Linked DNA regions of Lonchura striata. The protein of the gene in region 2 purifies or fractionates together with the protein of the main gene of each other region. This does not show direct contact. Links are inferred from orthologs where the notes say so. Each region holds a gene or a part of one and is shown on either strand. Other genes may lie near its edges.

Evidence for each region. Proteins that work in one complex are often made in the same cells at the same time.
Region 1: the proteins of PPP2R2B (region 2) and PPME1 purify together in Homo sapiens (affinity purification with mass spectrometry; 3 studies listed by BioGRID and IntAct, with this or other methods). This does not show direct contact. The link is inferred for Lonchura striata from reciprocal best matches to the Homo sapiens genes PPP2R2B and PPME1.

Annotation. Positions count from the first base shown.
Region 1 is NC_134604.1:19,315,950-19,323,220, forward strand, and holds the start of PPME1 (protein phosphatase methylesterase 1), read right to left. Parts: upstream 3,061-7,271; 5' UTR 2,987-3,060; coding exon 2,889-2,986; intron 1-2,888. Other genes in the region: C2CD3 (C2 domain-containing protein 3), read left to right, coding at 3,224-3,239, 3,374-3,631, 4,010-4,167, 4,733-4,929, 5,644-5,861, 6,437-6,569. UniProt on the Homo sapiens protein: Demethylates proteins that have been reversibly carboxymethylated. Demethylates PPP2CB (in vitro) and PPP2CA. Binding to PPP2CA displaces the manganese ion and inactivates the enzyme.
Region 2 is NC_134617.1:362,395-370,350, reverse strand, and holds the start of PPP2R2B (serine/threonine-protein phosphatase 2A 55 kDa regulatory subunit B beta isoform), read right to left. Parts: upstream 3,035-7,956; 5' UTR 2,909-3,034; coding exon 2,899-2,908; intron 2,776-2,898; coding exon 2,698-2,775; intron 1-2,697. UniProt on the Homo sapiens protein: The B regulatory subunit might modulate substrate selectivity and catalytic activity, and might also direct the localization of the catalytic enzyme to a particular subcellular compartment.

The DNA of each region.
Region 1 (7,271 bases), on a different chromosome or scaffold from region 2:
GGTTCAGCAAACTGACTTTCACTTTTAAATCCCATCTAGCTGCTTAACTCTGAGCCACTAGCCAAAAACAAAAGGCAAAAAACAAGACAGGAAATGCAGAAGCTGCTACAGCTGTTGGGATCTGCTGCCGTGGGGCCTCTTGCTCCACCAGTGACTTTACAAATTCTATTATTTTATTTCCCCACAGAACACAGAATCAGGCCATAAGCCTGGTTTTGTTTTATTTTGTGATTTTGATTTTGATTTTCATCAGTTGAGCAATTGGAAAGAATCACTTGCAACACGCAGGCAATTCCCAACACAGCCTTGGTGCTCCTTAAAGAAATGGACATGGAATTCCTCCCAGTGGCTGAGTTTCACCAACTGCTTGAGCTGAAGAGAAGCTCCAGCTTCCTTTGGGAAGGGCCTTTGCAACCATCATTTCTGCTGGAGAGCACTTAAATCCAGGGAGAAGAGGATTGTGCTAGCAAAGCAGGAATCAATGCCACGTGCTGTGAAATAGAATGAAATTCTAGCACACATCCCATGCTCCCGCAAAACCCACTCCAGACTACATTGCAGGAGCCATGTTTGGTATCAGGGAGAATTCCTTCCTGAAAAGGGCTGTCCAACCCTAGCACAGCTGCACAGATCCCCATCCCTGCAGGGACAGAAAGCTGTGTGGATAGGGCACTTGGGGATGTTGGGATAGTGGTGGCCTCGGCAGTGCTGGGGGAATGGCTGGACTCCAAGATCTTAGAGGGCTTTTCCAACCTGAGCAATTCCATGATTCTATTTGCTTCGGACAGTTTGACTTCTCAAATGAGACTCTCCCACAGAGAGACATAAGGAAGTGATTGTACTGAAAAATGAGCAAGAAAATAATAATTTTAAAAGAAAAAGTTAGAAATAAGTTTATTTTCACATACTTAAAGGTGCCATTTTTTATGAACTACTGAAACACACATTAACCTTTTAACAGCATATTGCCAAAAAATGTAAGACTTTATTTTGGTTAAGAAGTTCTCAGTAAATTCTATTTTTCTGCAGCAATCTCACATGCTTGGCCCTCTGCTTCTCAAGATCTGCTTTCAGCTACACCACAGTCACATTAAGATGACCTGCATGGTGGAAAAAAAGGGAATTAAAAGAAAGTGCCCAGCACACCAGTCAGAGGATTTAGCCACAGAAAAATCAAGTTGCTGGCATTCTTGGATATTAAGGTTAAACGCATTTTTTTAAAAGCCTGGCTTGCAATTCAAGAAATTGAAAGTGCAGGAATAAATTACATTTATAAATGTGAGATGCTTAATAAAGCAAATAAATATTTTCCTAAGTTTAGTTCTTTTTGTTCCCTGTAACCTTTGAATTTTGATGAACTATTTCAGTGCAGCCCTGTATATCTGCCAGCACTGTAAATCACACTATTTTCCCTGTACAACTAATTCCGTTCTCTTTTAGTGGAATTCTCTTCAGGGGGAATCTTGCACCTGTTTATACTGAACTGAACTTTGATAAGGATAAGCTCAGCTTAAGTTAAACTTTCTATCCCACTTCCTCTTGTGTCCTTTTCACAGAAGCCCCAAGCCCCTCTGGATGAGGTAATTCCATGTTGGATGTGCAGCACCTCCCACAACAGGAACATGACCTGTAAAGGGATTTACTGGGTGGTAGAGCAGTAAATCTAACCACAACATGATTATGAACTACTCCCCACTGCTTCCAAGGGAAGAATTCCAGGGGAATTCTTGATCCTTAACCGCAACACTGGATTTTGTTTCATTCATAATAATTTCCCAGAGAGAGTTTAAAACCCCTCCAATTCATGGTAAGAGAGGAAGAATTATATAAATTAACACTTGTTACAGCCTTAGACACTGGTCAAACTTCTCCCACAGCTCCTAAAATGTACTCTCAAACCCTGCTTAAAAGATTAAAGAGTATTCCAGACTTTTCCATCATCTCAAAATGCAGATTTAAGCAGGGATTAACGTCACTTGGCAGAGCACACCTACTTCACATAGGTGCCCGGAGCTGAGAAATTCTGTTTCACAGAATCATGGAATATTCTGACTCGGAAAGGGACCCACCACAAGCATTATCAAAGTCCAACTCCAGCTTAGGAATTCAGCTCCTGAGAATTTCCACACACCTCTCCCCGCAGTCACACTCTGAGGTACCACCCAGACATGGTGCTTGACCCTTCCTCCAAACACTGATGGCAAAAGGACTAGGAGAAAAGGGCTGGAGAGTTGATCCCAGCCCCTGCCACCTTCCCCCAGCCTAAGGATACTTTGGGCACTGATACCTTTGCAGCTGGAGAAGCCTGATCCAGGTGTCACTCTCCTGGAGCACTGGGAAGCAGGACCAACCCTCCCTCCAGACCCCTAAGAATGACCCCCCCTCGCTCCAGATCCCCCAGTAGTGACCATTCCCCGTCCCGATTCCCCAGGACGAGCTCTTCTCTGTGTATGTCTCGTGATAATGGCCATTCCCTGTGCCGATCCCCCAGGACGAGCTCCCCACTGGCCGGATCTCCTGGTAATCGACATTCCTTTGCCGATCTTCCAGGATGAGCTTCCCCCTGTCCAGACCCCCCGATAATTCCCTGTGCCCAATTCCTCAGGACGAACTCCCCTCCTCCCAGATCTCCAGATAATGGCCATTCCCTGTCCCGATCGCCCAGGACGAGCTCCCCTCTTCCCAAATCCTCCGATAGTGATTCCCCTCCGTCCAGACCCCGGAATAACGTACCTCCCTTCCTTGTAGATCCCCCCAGCAAAGACCACCCGTCCCTCCAGACCCCCAACACGAGCCCCACCTCCCTGCAGAGCCTCCGCTCCGCGGTAACCTCTCCCCCCAGACTCCCCCCCGATCTCGGCATCCGCCCCTGCCCTTCCTCCGCCTACCCCATGCGCATCTTCGACCCGGAATGGCCGCCGCCTCCGGGCAACGGGGGCCGAGGTGGGAGGCGGCCCAGATGCAGCTGCTTCTCCAGGGCAGACATGACAGCTAGGGACGCACCGGGAACACCGGGACCCCCGCGCCGCCCCCTCCGCCCCGCCTCGCCTCGCCGGAAGCGGCTCCCCCAACAGCGCCGCCACGCGGCACTAAGCGCACCCGCCCGCGTGGCACCGCGGGAAACGTAGTCCGCGCCCCCGCTCTGCCCGGCGGGGCGCGGGGCAGGACGGGAGCTGTAGTCCCCCGCCGCGGCGGCCGTTGCCGGGCGGGAGGCGCGGGCGGGATGCGGCGGAGGGGAGGTGCGGAGAGGGACAGAGCGGCGGAGCGGGGCTTGGGGGGATACAGCGGGGAGAGAAGCGTGCAGCTGTGGGACGGGAAGCGGCACGGAGGCTCGGGACGATGTACGGACCGCTGATGTCGCCTGTCCCCGCAGGTGCCGGCGAGCCCGCCGCCGCCATCAGCCTGCCGCCGCTGGTGCAGGGCCCGGCGCGCTGCTTCCTGCGCTGCAGCGTGCCCCGCGTGTTCTGGGCGGCCCCGCAGCCGCCCGCCGTGGTGCGCCTACGGTGGTGGGGGGAGACGTCCGGCGGCACCGTACTGCAGCCCGCCTGCCGGGCCGGGCAGCCCGCGGGGAGAACCAGCGCCCGCTTCACCGTGCGCTGCGGACCCCGGCAGCTCGCCGCCTACCTGGCAGGTAGGGACGCTACGCTTCGGGACCGCGTTAGGTTGGGGTAGGACGAGAGGACGCAGCGTTAAGGTGTGCCGGGGCAGGTTGGGGTCGGCCGTCGAGAGAAGTTTCTTCACGGGCAGGGTGGGTAGGCTGCCCAGGGGGTTACCCTCGAACAGCGGTAAGCATTTCCCTGTGTCCTGTTCCTTTCCTGGTAATCCTGTACTCGTTCATCATCATTTAGTACCAGTAATAATGTCTGTATTGACGCTTCTTCACCTGCTGCCCTGTTATCGTAATTTCCTTGTAGGACATAATGTTAATCTCTGGCGTTGCTGTCATTTTAGCCAAAAAGTGTCAGTTGTGACCATGAGACTGACTTGAAGATGTTCCTGATTTTTGCAGATATGGGCGTTCTGGTCCTGGAGGTTCTAACCAAACTTGACCACCTTCTCCTTGGCAGAGCACAGATCACTAAGCTGTCCCAGCTCTCTCCCAGCCATCCCATCAAAGGGTCTTTTCCTGTGGTGTCACCAACATCGGGTAAACTCGGAGAGCTGCAGGTAGTCTTGATGTCTTTGCTCATTATCATAAATTATGTGCTGTGACACTGGTATAATCAGGTGCAGGGTCAAGCTGTATATGGCACACTGCAGCTTTGCTCTCTGTCAAGGGCATTTCTGAGCTTAGGTAACAAATAAAAAAAAACAAATACTGCTGATATTGACTTTATTTTGTTCCAAGGGATGTGGGGTAGTTGAGCTTAGTGAGGAGCATGTGGTCATCTCTGTCACCAAGAGTGAGTGTTAACAGTGGATTTTAAATGGATATTTGGTTCTTACACTTCACTGGGCTGATAATAGAAGATTTGACATCTGGAATTAAGAAAATTCTGTCTTGCAGCCCTGGCTCTGGAAAATTGATTATGAAAGGCAGTTGACTGGGTCTGAAAACATGGAACAAGAAAGAAGTAGTTGTAAATATGTGACATAGCTGCGTAATGTAAATATTACTTTATGTAGAAAAGCAGCAGTTTTCCATTGCACAACAAGTGAAGTTTAATGCAGTGTTTACTGCACTTAAGTTAGGAAGAGAACAAAGTAATATTTTCACATTCTTGTCTTCCAGGTCTCACTGATTCTAGAACCTCTGCCAGAGCTGTATGATACTAGCAGCTGTGTGCTGACCACACAAGGAGGTTCAGTTGCTGCTGCTGCCCAGGGAAGCAGCAAGTCCCAGCTTCCTGCTCCATCCCAGCAGCCCAGGCACACACAGGTGACTGTTGAACAGGACTGGGTTGACAACAGCAAAGCCACATCTCCTAGGTATCCGTTTGTTTTTTTTGTTTTTCTCATGACAAAACTGTGGTTTATTTTGCAGTTCACACAGGATTTTTAGGTATGGCAGTACACTTGTGAGTTATGGGATGCTTGATGTTTTCAAACATACATCTTATATTAAATCCAGGATGTGGAGATTTCCAAGGTGACAGGGACAATTTCTTGTCTGATAAGAAATTTGCTTCTTAGGTTGACTTAGTTCAAGTCATGCAAGTTCACAAAAGAGGTGCCTCAAATCATCAAATCACAAAATAATTTGGGTGGAAGGGATCTTAAGGCTCATCTCATTTCAGCCCTGCTGCCAGAACACTTTCCACTATCCCAGGCTGCTCCAAGCCCCATCCAGCCTGGCCTTGGACATGGATGAAGCAGGCACGGCCTCTCTCGGTAACCTGTGCCAGAGTCTCACCGTGCTCCAGCAAATCACTTTCTCCTGATATCTAATCTAAACTTACCCTCTGGCAGTGAGAATCTGTTCCCCCTTGTCCTGTCACAAGATGCTCTTGTAAAAAAGATCTTTTTTTTAAAAAAAATCTTCTACTTGCAGCTTGGGTTGGTCTCTCTGATGGTCTCAGTGGCAGGTGAGGAATCATTAAAATAACATGTCATGTTTCCTGTTGGAGCATGTCCTGAAGGGAGAATTTGCAGAGCTCTGAATCCCTTTACCCACCTTCCTGAGTTGTCACTGTTTTTCCCTAGAGGAAGGGACGGTTTGCTCTACCAAAAGAATTCTGAAAACATGAAGAACACCTTTTCTGCTTCTTGTCACGGTGTGATTTTACCAGATGAACACTTGAAAATGAATCCTGCGAGTCAGCCCCTGTCGTTTCCCAGCAGCACTGATCCTGAAGCGCTTCCCAGGAGGAGCACACGGGTGCTCTCCATGCACAACGCCGCTACAAAAGACCTGCTGTCAGGTTTGTGTGCAGCTGGCTTCACATTTTAGATTTCACTGCAAACAGCTCTTGATGCTCTTTTGTCTGCCTGTATGGAGATGAGGTTTTCTGAAGGGAAAGACAGACTTCACACCCTCTTGCTGCATTATACCAAAAAGGCCTTGTCTTAAAACTTGCTGTTGCCTGGGCTGGACTGAAATAAGCTTTGGAGTAGGGCATGTTTCCATATGTGCTGTCTTTTGAGTTCCATATTCGCAGAAAAGAACAAAAATTAGACATCTTGAAGTGGCAAACTTCTCTTCCCTAAATTAGTACTGCTTCTGTATCCTAATAATGCCTTTCCAATACCTGACCCTGTGTGTGCAGAGAAATTCCCTGTGCAGTGGAGTGGGAGACTGATGGAGGATCATTCTCCCTCGCTCCCAGCTGAGCTGTTTTCTGGTGTATAAAACATATTTAATCCCCAGTGAGTCAAGATCTTTTTTTAACAGCAGAAAACAAGTTTCTTGACCGTAGCTGACACATTGATTATGTCTACACATTGCTCTTAAAATACATTTGAATGCTGAAATGTAATCCTTCTGCTTGTTTCCCAGCTCTCTTGGATCAAGGCAGTAAACTCCGTGATGCCATGGTTGTTTCTGCAATGAAGTCCAGCCTAGACATGGAGATTGAACTGAATAAAATATCTGATTTTATAGAGAGAGATGATTTTAAAGCACCAACAAAGTGAGTTTGGATTGAGGGAAGTGAGATGCAAGCTCCAAACCATAAATTTTGAGGCTTTATCCAGAAAACTGTAGATACTGAGATTCATAGGATGTGTTTTAGGATTCATTTGAGGTGAAAAAAGCACATCATTCAAATAGGAAGTTAATTTCTACCTGTGAATAAATGCGCGAATTTTGTGAATTTATTTTAATCTTCATGTAGTAAGCTTTGATTTAAGTATTTGATTTTAATTTAATTTTTTAGTATATTTGTATTTAGTTCTAAGTTATTTGTCAAGGAAATATTACATGTTGGTAGGGAATAAGAGTAAGACTTGAAAGACAGTGCAAGTGAAATGGCACTGCATCACAAGGAGCAGTTTTTCAGAGAAGTGTAAGTAATTCATAACCTAAATGCATTTTTTTTTTCCTTAGGGGAAAAGAAACTTAGATTTCTTGATTTTCTTCTGGAAAAATGTGAATATTACCTGTTGTTCTGTGATAACCAGAAAGCGATGTCATTGTCTTTGGTAGTCAGTGATGCTATTGCAAACTCAATTTAATTTCTTTCTGCACAAGCTATTTGCATTTGTGTTAAAGTGGATTATTTTGGACTTCACAGAAGACACTGATAGACCGATTAATGGATTAATCTTGAGTATGCCTTAATGTCTTTATTTGTCCTTTTTCTGCTGTCTCTGCTTCCATTGCTGTTACCCAG
Region 2 (7,956 bases):
AGACCTGGAAACGCGCTCTGCTGACGGCGGGAGAGGGGTCGGCTAGCCGGAGGCGGGCAGAGCGCGGCAGGATTGCTCCATTTCCTCGGGAATATCCGGATGCATTTAAGGCCACATCTACAAACTACACGCCCTGGAGCCCTGCAGCCCCGTCACCGCAGCCGCCGCGCCGGCCCCGCGGCTCGGCGTTTCCCGGCGGCCCCGCCCGCGCCCCCGCGCCCCGCGTACCTTCCGCGTGGCAGCTGGCGGAGCGGAGCGCGCCGTGCGGCCGGAACAGGTACGGGAGGTACCGCGAGAAGCATTTCATCTTCCGCGCCGGACCGCGCTCGGACACGGACCCCGCACCGACAGCGGCGGGGAGAGCGGCAGCGCCGGCCCGCGCGGAGCTGTCCGGCCCCGCTGCTGCCGCAGCGGAGCGGAGCGCCCCGGCTCGCCCGGCCCGGCCCGGCCCCGCCGCATCGGGTGCGGCACGGCCGGCAGCGCTGACGAAGCCCGTCCCGCCCGCCAGCAGCCGCCCGGCGCCCCGCGGCCGGCCCCGCAGGGATCCGCAGGGCCCCGGGCCGCCCCGGGCCGCCCCGCTCCGCCGCAGCCCCCGCGGCCGCCGGGAGCCGCCGCCGGGGCCGCGCAGGGCGCGTCGCACCGGGGCCGCATCCCGGGACCAGCGGGACCGGAGGGACGGACGCGTGTCCTGGCACTGCCGCACCCCGGAGCCGAGCGAGCCGCCCCGCACCGCCGCAGCCTCGAGGAGGTGTCGCCTCTAAAGTTCGCGCTAACCCGTTTTCTACAGTAGACTCCTAATAGCCAATCTATCAGAATAAGGCAAGGTCTCTAAAACCTGTTTGCTTTAGACAGTACTGAAATGTGGTTCAAAGCACTGTGATATGACAGTGGCAGTCAGTAACGTCATGTACTTCACATTTAACACTGAAATCAGTGTTTGAGCAGCTGAAAGATGTCTCAGGCCTCCCATCTATGCACAAGAGAGCTCGTTCATTCCCACAGTTGCTTTAGTTAAAGGATCCATTACTCCCCTGGTTTCATCGGGACAAGTACCACAGACTGTGACACCATACTCCAAGTCAAAGCAAGGAACAAAGAAAGAACAAAATGAGGTAGTTTATGTAGATTTGTTTGTGCAGCTTCTGTGTGGACAGGAGCAGACAATTACCACAAAATTAATGGCAGAATTATTGTTGGCAACATTTGAAATATAATTTCAAAGCCAGAATGACAGTCCATCCTGCTGAAGGAGGTAGGCTCTACTACATTCAAAGAGCATTGTAATAAAAGTAACATCTCTTCTCACCTGACCATGCACAGCTGTGTGCTTCATAGTCACTAAAGAAATCACATTCTGCAAGTTCAGGATGCTTGGATATTAGCAAGAGTTCTGAAGGTCAAAAATGTGTTGCAAAGACTAGAGTAATAGTGGCAACTTATGGATAAACTTCTGATGAAGGTGAGGCATCTGTAATACCATATTTATGGCTTAATTCATGTACACACATTACTACCTATACACGTGTACACTCACACGCCAACGCAAACCAGCACAAGAACCAAAGCCCATCCCACATGTAACACTTGTGTGAGCTTCCTCCTCAGTCATGGTCATGCTGTTTGTGCCTGTTCAGATTGAATGCACCAATGGCATGGCCTTTTAATTACTAGTTTTACTGAATGCAGCTTTTAAGTATTATTCATTAGCCTTTACTGTTCTGTGAGGCCAGATTACCGCAAGAAAAAATCGCAGGGCTCCTTTCCTGCCATCATGCCTCTAGGTTCATCCACTAAGTCTCCAGTGGTAAAAAAATAAAGCTTACAGCCCTCAGCTGGTAAGTGGTTACATTAACAAAAGAATAGAGAGTGAGAGATGCAACCTAATATTTCATTAATCCTAAAGTAGCAAACAAGTACTCCTGAGCAGTTACAATGATCTGCAGATTCTACAGTAAAAGCTCAAAACACTTGTAAATAATTTTAAAACCAAAACAACAAAACAAAACATCAGTAAAAAATATTTTGGCTTTAATCACTATATTGCTGTTTTCCTCTAGGGATTTAATAAATTATTAGATATTCTTCAGAGTGATGTGCCCCAATGTAATCTCTAGAGATTACAGACTGAAACCCTCTTCTGCAAAAGCAGCATAACAGAACTGCCACTGAAGCAGGACAGGTGACAGTGCTCGAGGCAGAGCCTCATTCCCACCAGGAGAAGTCAGAGCTCTGCTCTCAGGGGCTTGGGCTGACACAGTCCCCTTAGTCTCACAAGACTGTGCTTTTAAAAAGGTCATCACATTTCATGGACCGCAAAAAAATATAAGGAGAATGTCTAATAGTCCATCTCAGTTCCAGAACTGATTCTGGTAAAGGTTATAGTGGGAGAAGCTGTCTCATTATTCCCTGAAAAGCTCTAAATAACAGCTGAAAACCAAAAGAAAATCTATTTCAAAGGCTATTGCTATGATTAAGCTATAATGCCCTCAAATGAATTCTTGGATCAATAGCTAATTTAAGAGGCCCATCTCTTTCAGATGCACAAGTACATAACGAGGGCAGAAACCGAGGAGCATGGCTTAGCTCTGTCCCAGCAGCTCCCAACAACACGCAAAAGACCTCCCTGCACACCAGCTAGGCAAGATGTATGCGACAAGTTATCTTTGGTCACAGCAACAAAAAGAAAAATAAACTTACATTCTGCCACCCCAGCATCTATAGCTCCTTTTACTTGACTGAAGCACCACAGCACATCCTGCATGAGGCTTCCAAATCCTGCCAGGAAAACACATTCAGAAAGAAGATACAATCACATTGGTACATAGCTTGTCCTTTTTTAAATGAATGCACATGCACACACAAGGTGCAATCTCTGCATGAAGATAAACAGCTGCTCACCTGGTGTCATAGTTCCATGCAAAGCGCAGAGCTAGCACTGCAGAGCCAAGAGCAGCATGCCTGCCTTATGAATCACCCTCTGTTCTCTCCGTGCCATGGCAGGGCTGTTGGGAAGTGGAGCCATCAGAGTCAGTCCCCTCCACATCACTGGCAGCAGCACAGAAGTCAGGAGGCCCTGAAGTCATGGTCTTTGTCACAGCCTCCCTCTGTCAGAATACTAATGCTCCCAGTCATTTCCTGCACAGTTAAAGAAGGAGTAAAACAGGAAAAAAGAACTGCTCCTACTACCACAAGAAGTTATTTTTTCACATTTGTGGTCAGTGTAGTTCTGAACTGCTTGGCAATGAACCCAAGCAGCATGGAGCTGCTTTACAATACATTATAACACTTTCCTCAAAATCTGCCTGCAATCACAATTGCCTTATAGCTGCTTTAAAAGACTACTACAGACATTTCTACTTAAAGACATATTATTAAGCTGTAGTGCTTTCAACTGTGTTTGCTGCTGCAGCAATACTCTGTGTTAAGACTCTGAGAGAAATTAGGATTTCATCTACCAATGCCCCTTGTTTCCTTGACAGCTGAGCAGAATTTCCCTTTGTGTGACACAGTTTTCAGTATTCCACAAAAAAATCCACTGCCTCAAAGGACAACTTTTTTCCTTTCATCCTACACACATTTTATCTCAAAGAATTTCCAGGCATGAAGAAAGCAGGGAAATGAAGCCACAAGGAACAGTCAATTTCATCTCATTTGTTTCACACACAGGTGAAATGTGTAACAGAAAATGTAGGCATTTCACAATTGGCAAGTGTGATACTGGGCTCAGTCTGGGGTCTTGCTACAGAGACACAGACTTGTTACTTCTCTACGAAAGAAAAGGAAAACACAGGTTGGGAGACTATGTCCAGTAGGGCATATGACCAAGCAATATGGGATATGCTGTAGCCTAACTGGATGTCTTTGTGAGATCTCTGTCTGATTTTACTTATGTTTTTTGTATTAATACAGGTATGTATCAAAATAATGTATTAACCTGGAATACATAATAGGTACAAAGTCAAGAGTGAGCTTTATTGGGTTATTCAAGGCGAATACAAGGAAAAGATAGAACTTTAAGGGTATGAAAGGGGGAGGGTGAGGATTAAACTCTGCATCTAGGCAATGAGGAGATGACCATTTTCCAGAGGCTCTGTGGTGCTTCCTGCAGCTTGGGCAGCAGCTTTGATAAGAGTGACAGTGAGTCTAATATCTGGGCAGTTTGCAGGGCTCTGTCTCACATCTTCACTCTCATAAACATTGCTGATCAATGTATTTTTTGCCCATCAGTCTCTGGCAGGATTTGTTCCTATTCTCACCACTGTGGTTCTCACACTGACACCGGGAATGGTTTATTCCTGCTTTGCACTGGAAGTGCTGGCAGTAGCAGACAGGATTTCTTAGCCCTTGGTACTGCTGGACTTCCAGAGCACAAACACTGCACTGTTGCAGACACCAGGCTGGGAAAATCCTGTAGTAACTGAGCCTTCTTTTCATATGATGGAGATGGATATTTAAAGAAAGTTGTTCTGGTTTTTAAGGTTTATTGCTAACTTAATTTGTGAAATTTCTCTCTGGACATTCAGACCTCCCCTGTAATTTTTGGAGTTTTTCTCTTGGTACACCAGTTCTTGCTTTAAGGATGGAAATTCACTAATGAAGTACATGTCTATGATATTGATGTATAGGAAAATCTTGCCTGCAAGCTTGGCCTCTCTCTTGCCAACATGCACACTAAAAGCCTTTTCATTCTAAGAATTTGAAGAAATCTTTTAAAAATCAGATATGCCTGGGGAAAGGCTGCACATGGATATTGATTAGCTTTATCTGTACTGCATCCAGCCCTGGGACTGAACCAGTCCAAATGCTGGGGAAGAGCATCTGTTTGAGGTGCACACAAGAAGCCTGGAATGCTGATGGGAGTGAACAATGGACACAGGGATCCTGTCCCAGTGGGAGAGATTTTGATACATACTAGTGAAAAGAAGCAGGAGGAACGCTTCTACATCCAGCCACCTATTGACACCTTGTGTGACAACGAACCAGTGTTAACTAATGAGTTCCATTTCTCTGCAATGAGAGCTGTTAGCCACTATTAACAACCCAGCTTGCTGGAGGAGAGCTGTCACTTTGGATTCTGAAGTCCTGTCCTGCCTTAAATTCTAGTGACCCCTAGCTGAGGAATCCTAGCGCTTCACATCCTGCAGCCAGGAAAAGACATTCCTCTGTGTTCTCTGAAATGGAGCTCAGACTCTACAGAAATCTTGCTGGGATTGGTGTGTTTAAAAATGCAGGTTCTGGGACACTGTGGTTTACATTGTGAAAAGGATGTTCAAGCTATTTGCAGAAGCAGCCGCCTCACAGCATGTGTCAGAGTGGGTGCAGATGCCATAATCTGTGCTGAGTCAGGGGCCAGGAAAACTGTGAACGAGATAAGGCACCAGGGACAGATCTGCCCATCCAGAAAACACTTAATCCCTGATCATGGGACAGCCCCTGCTGCAGGAGGGGAGCCCTGGGTGGTCCACACCCCTGCACAGCCTGCAGTGAGTTTTAACCTTGATTAAGTATGTATACCAATTCCTACACTTTGGCACTGGCAACTGCCTGCAAAGCTTACAAGACAATTCTCATTCAGTAGGAGCTGTGGGCAGTGTGCGAAGGTGAGCCCACTTTAATCACAGGAGATGCCAGCAATGGGTATTGAAATCTAGCACATTACAAGCATACCATAATGTTAATGTCTACTGGAAGATTACAGCTGAGTTATGGCTGCTCAATTTAATTTAATTTCTTTAATACTTATGGTTCCAGAAAATGCATAGAATAAGTATAGCAAAACTTCTCTGTTTTTTAAGCCATTGAAAAAAATTAGTTTGATAGTTGAACCAAAAGTATAGGTAGCTGAATAGTTAAAACTGTAAAGGTGAATAAAACTTATAAAAATTATATTTTAATTCAGTGGCAGCCATTAGGGGCTTTGCCCCCTCTGACCTTTGCAGACCCCAGGGGTTTTTCTGGCGTGCCCAGGCTGGGGTAGTGGTGGGGTTTATGTGCTGGAGGAGTGTATGGGTTGGTGGCAGGAACCTCTTGGAGGAGAGGGATAAGCCGTGCCTCCTCTCCATTAGAAGGCACCAGAGATCCACCACGGCGCTCCCATTCCTCAAGCCAGGAAAGCTGGCAGTGGCTGTTGTGCATGACGGGTGACAGAGAGAACACTTCACTCCCCTGAGTTTCTTTTAGTACGAGTGAAAAAATTCCCCAGCATGGGACATGTCTCCTCTTTCTGAGCTGACACAGTAGAAAAGCTCTATTCCTTGAGAAAACTGGGGGATATGTTTCACTGATTTTCTTCCTAAGTGTGCTGTCTTTTTATTGCAGACCAAAGCCTCAGCTCTGGGACACGAAGCTCTCTGTTTCCCATGGAAAATTAATCCTCCTGCTGCACCAAGCAGAATGCGCTTTCCCATTGCCCATGGGGAACAGAGTTGCCTGTTTCAGAGGAGCTGTTGCAGATCTGCCTTCTGTCATTTGCTGTTTCTTTGGCCTACTCAATAATTAGACTTTAATATTTCATTTCTGTTGACATACAAGATTCTGAAACTCTCCAGATAACCCACTGTACAGAACAACTCTGGACTACTACTTTTTTTAATATTTCCACTACTGATTCTACTAGTTTTACTGGGTTTGTCCTGGATTATAGCTTTTGCTGTAAATAAAATCAGAATAATACTGTTTAGAAAAAAAATTCTAATTTCTTATGATAAAAATTTTCAAGCTTCATGTAAGTCGCTCATGTGAAAAGTCAAATAGAAGTGATTCTTCATCCAGCAAATTTTAGTCTATTCAGGAAAAGCTGCTTCAGACAGAGAGAAAACCACAGGTGGATACTCTAAAAGGTAGAGTTTGGTCTTGGGCTGGGAAGGAAATCTTGAGCATCTCCTGATTTTAGAGCTGTAGACAAATCACTAACAATTCCCTGCAACTTGAACACCTTACCCTACCCACCACAGATGGTTTACTTTAAACCACTTTGTTACTTGGTTTCTGTGTGGTAACTGCTGGATCCCCATCCTTGCTGTAAGGCTGTGCAGGTCATTTCCCAGGACAGGAGCTGGTGTCCCGACGTGGAGCTCACCTGCCCCCAGAGCCCTTGTATGTGTCCTCACCTCAGAGCTGGGTTTGAGGACAGATGTCCCCTGGCCCAAACCAGCTCTGCAGGAACCCAGCCTCTTTCTCCCTCTGCAGTCCATGGGTCTGTATTTCAGACGATCTGAATTGCTTTAGATAGTTTAGGAGAGACTCAGCTGTGTTTCAGCTTATTGGTTATTCTCTAAGTAGTACATGAAATGGCTAAAATTGGGTAAGTGCTCTGACTTCTGCCTGTCCTGGGGCAAGGACTGCTCTTCCTTAGAGCCCTGGGAGTATAAACCTTCCCTGGCATTCAGGAATGAGAGGAGAAAAGCCAGTGTCCGAGAGTATGGACAATGGGGTGGGAAATGTGGTGTCTCTCTTCTTATGGATCCTTTCAGGGGAATGCGGACGGGCAGCGTGACCCCGGCCATACCGAGACCTGAGTGACCGAGGCTCCGACGGGACCGCCCTCTGCCAGCTGCACCCCGAGGCGGGTGCGGGGCTGGATGCACCCGGGCACCGAAGGCGGAGCCCGCATACCCCTTCCAAAAAAACGGAGGGCAAGGCACGAGGCTTACAGGAGAGAAAGGATAACCCCGCAGCAAGGGGCGGCAGAGGGGTTCGGGCGGTGGGGCCATCAGAGGGAGTGTCGTTCCCGGCCGCAGGGCGGGGACAGGGACACGGACACGGACACGGACACGGACACCTTCCTGGCGGCGCGGCGGCGTGTCCGCGGCGCGGCCCCACGCGAGTGTCGCTCAGGTGCCGCAGGCTCCTCCCGCCGCCACCGGGGGCCCGGCCCGGCCGGTTCCTCGGCTCCGTCGCCCCCGGCTCCTCTCCTCCGCAGGCTGGTGCCGCCCGCGCCGACGGCTGCTCGGTCCC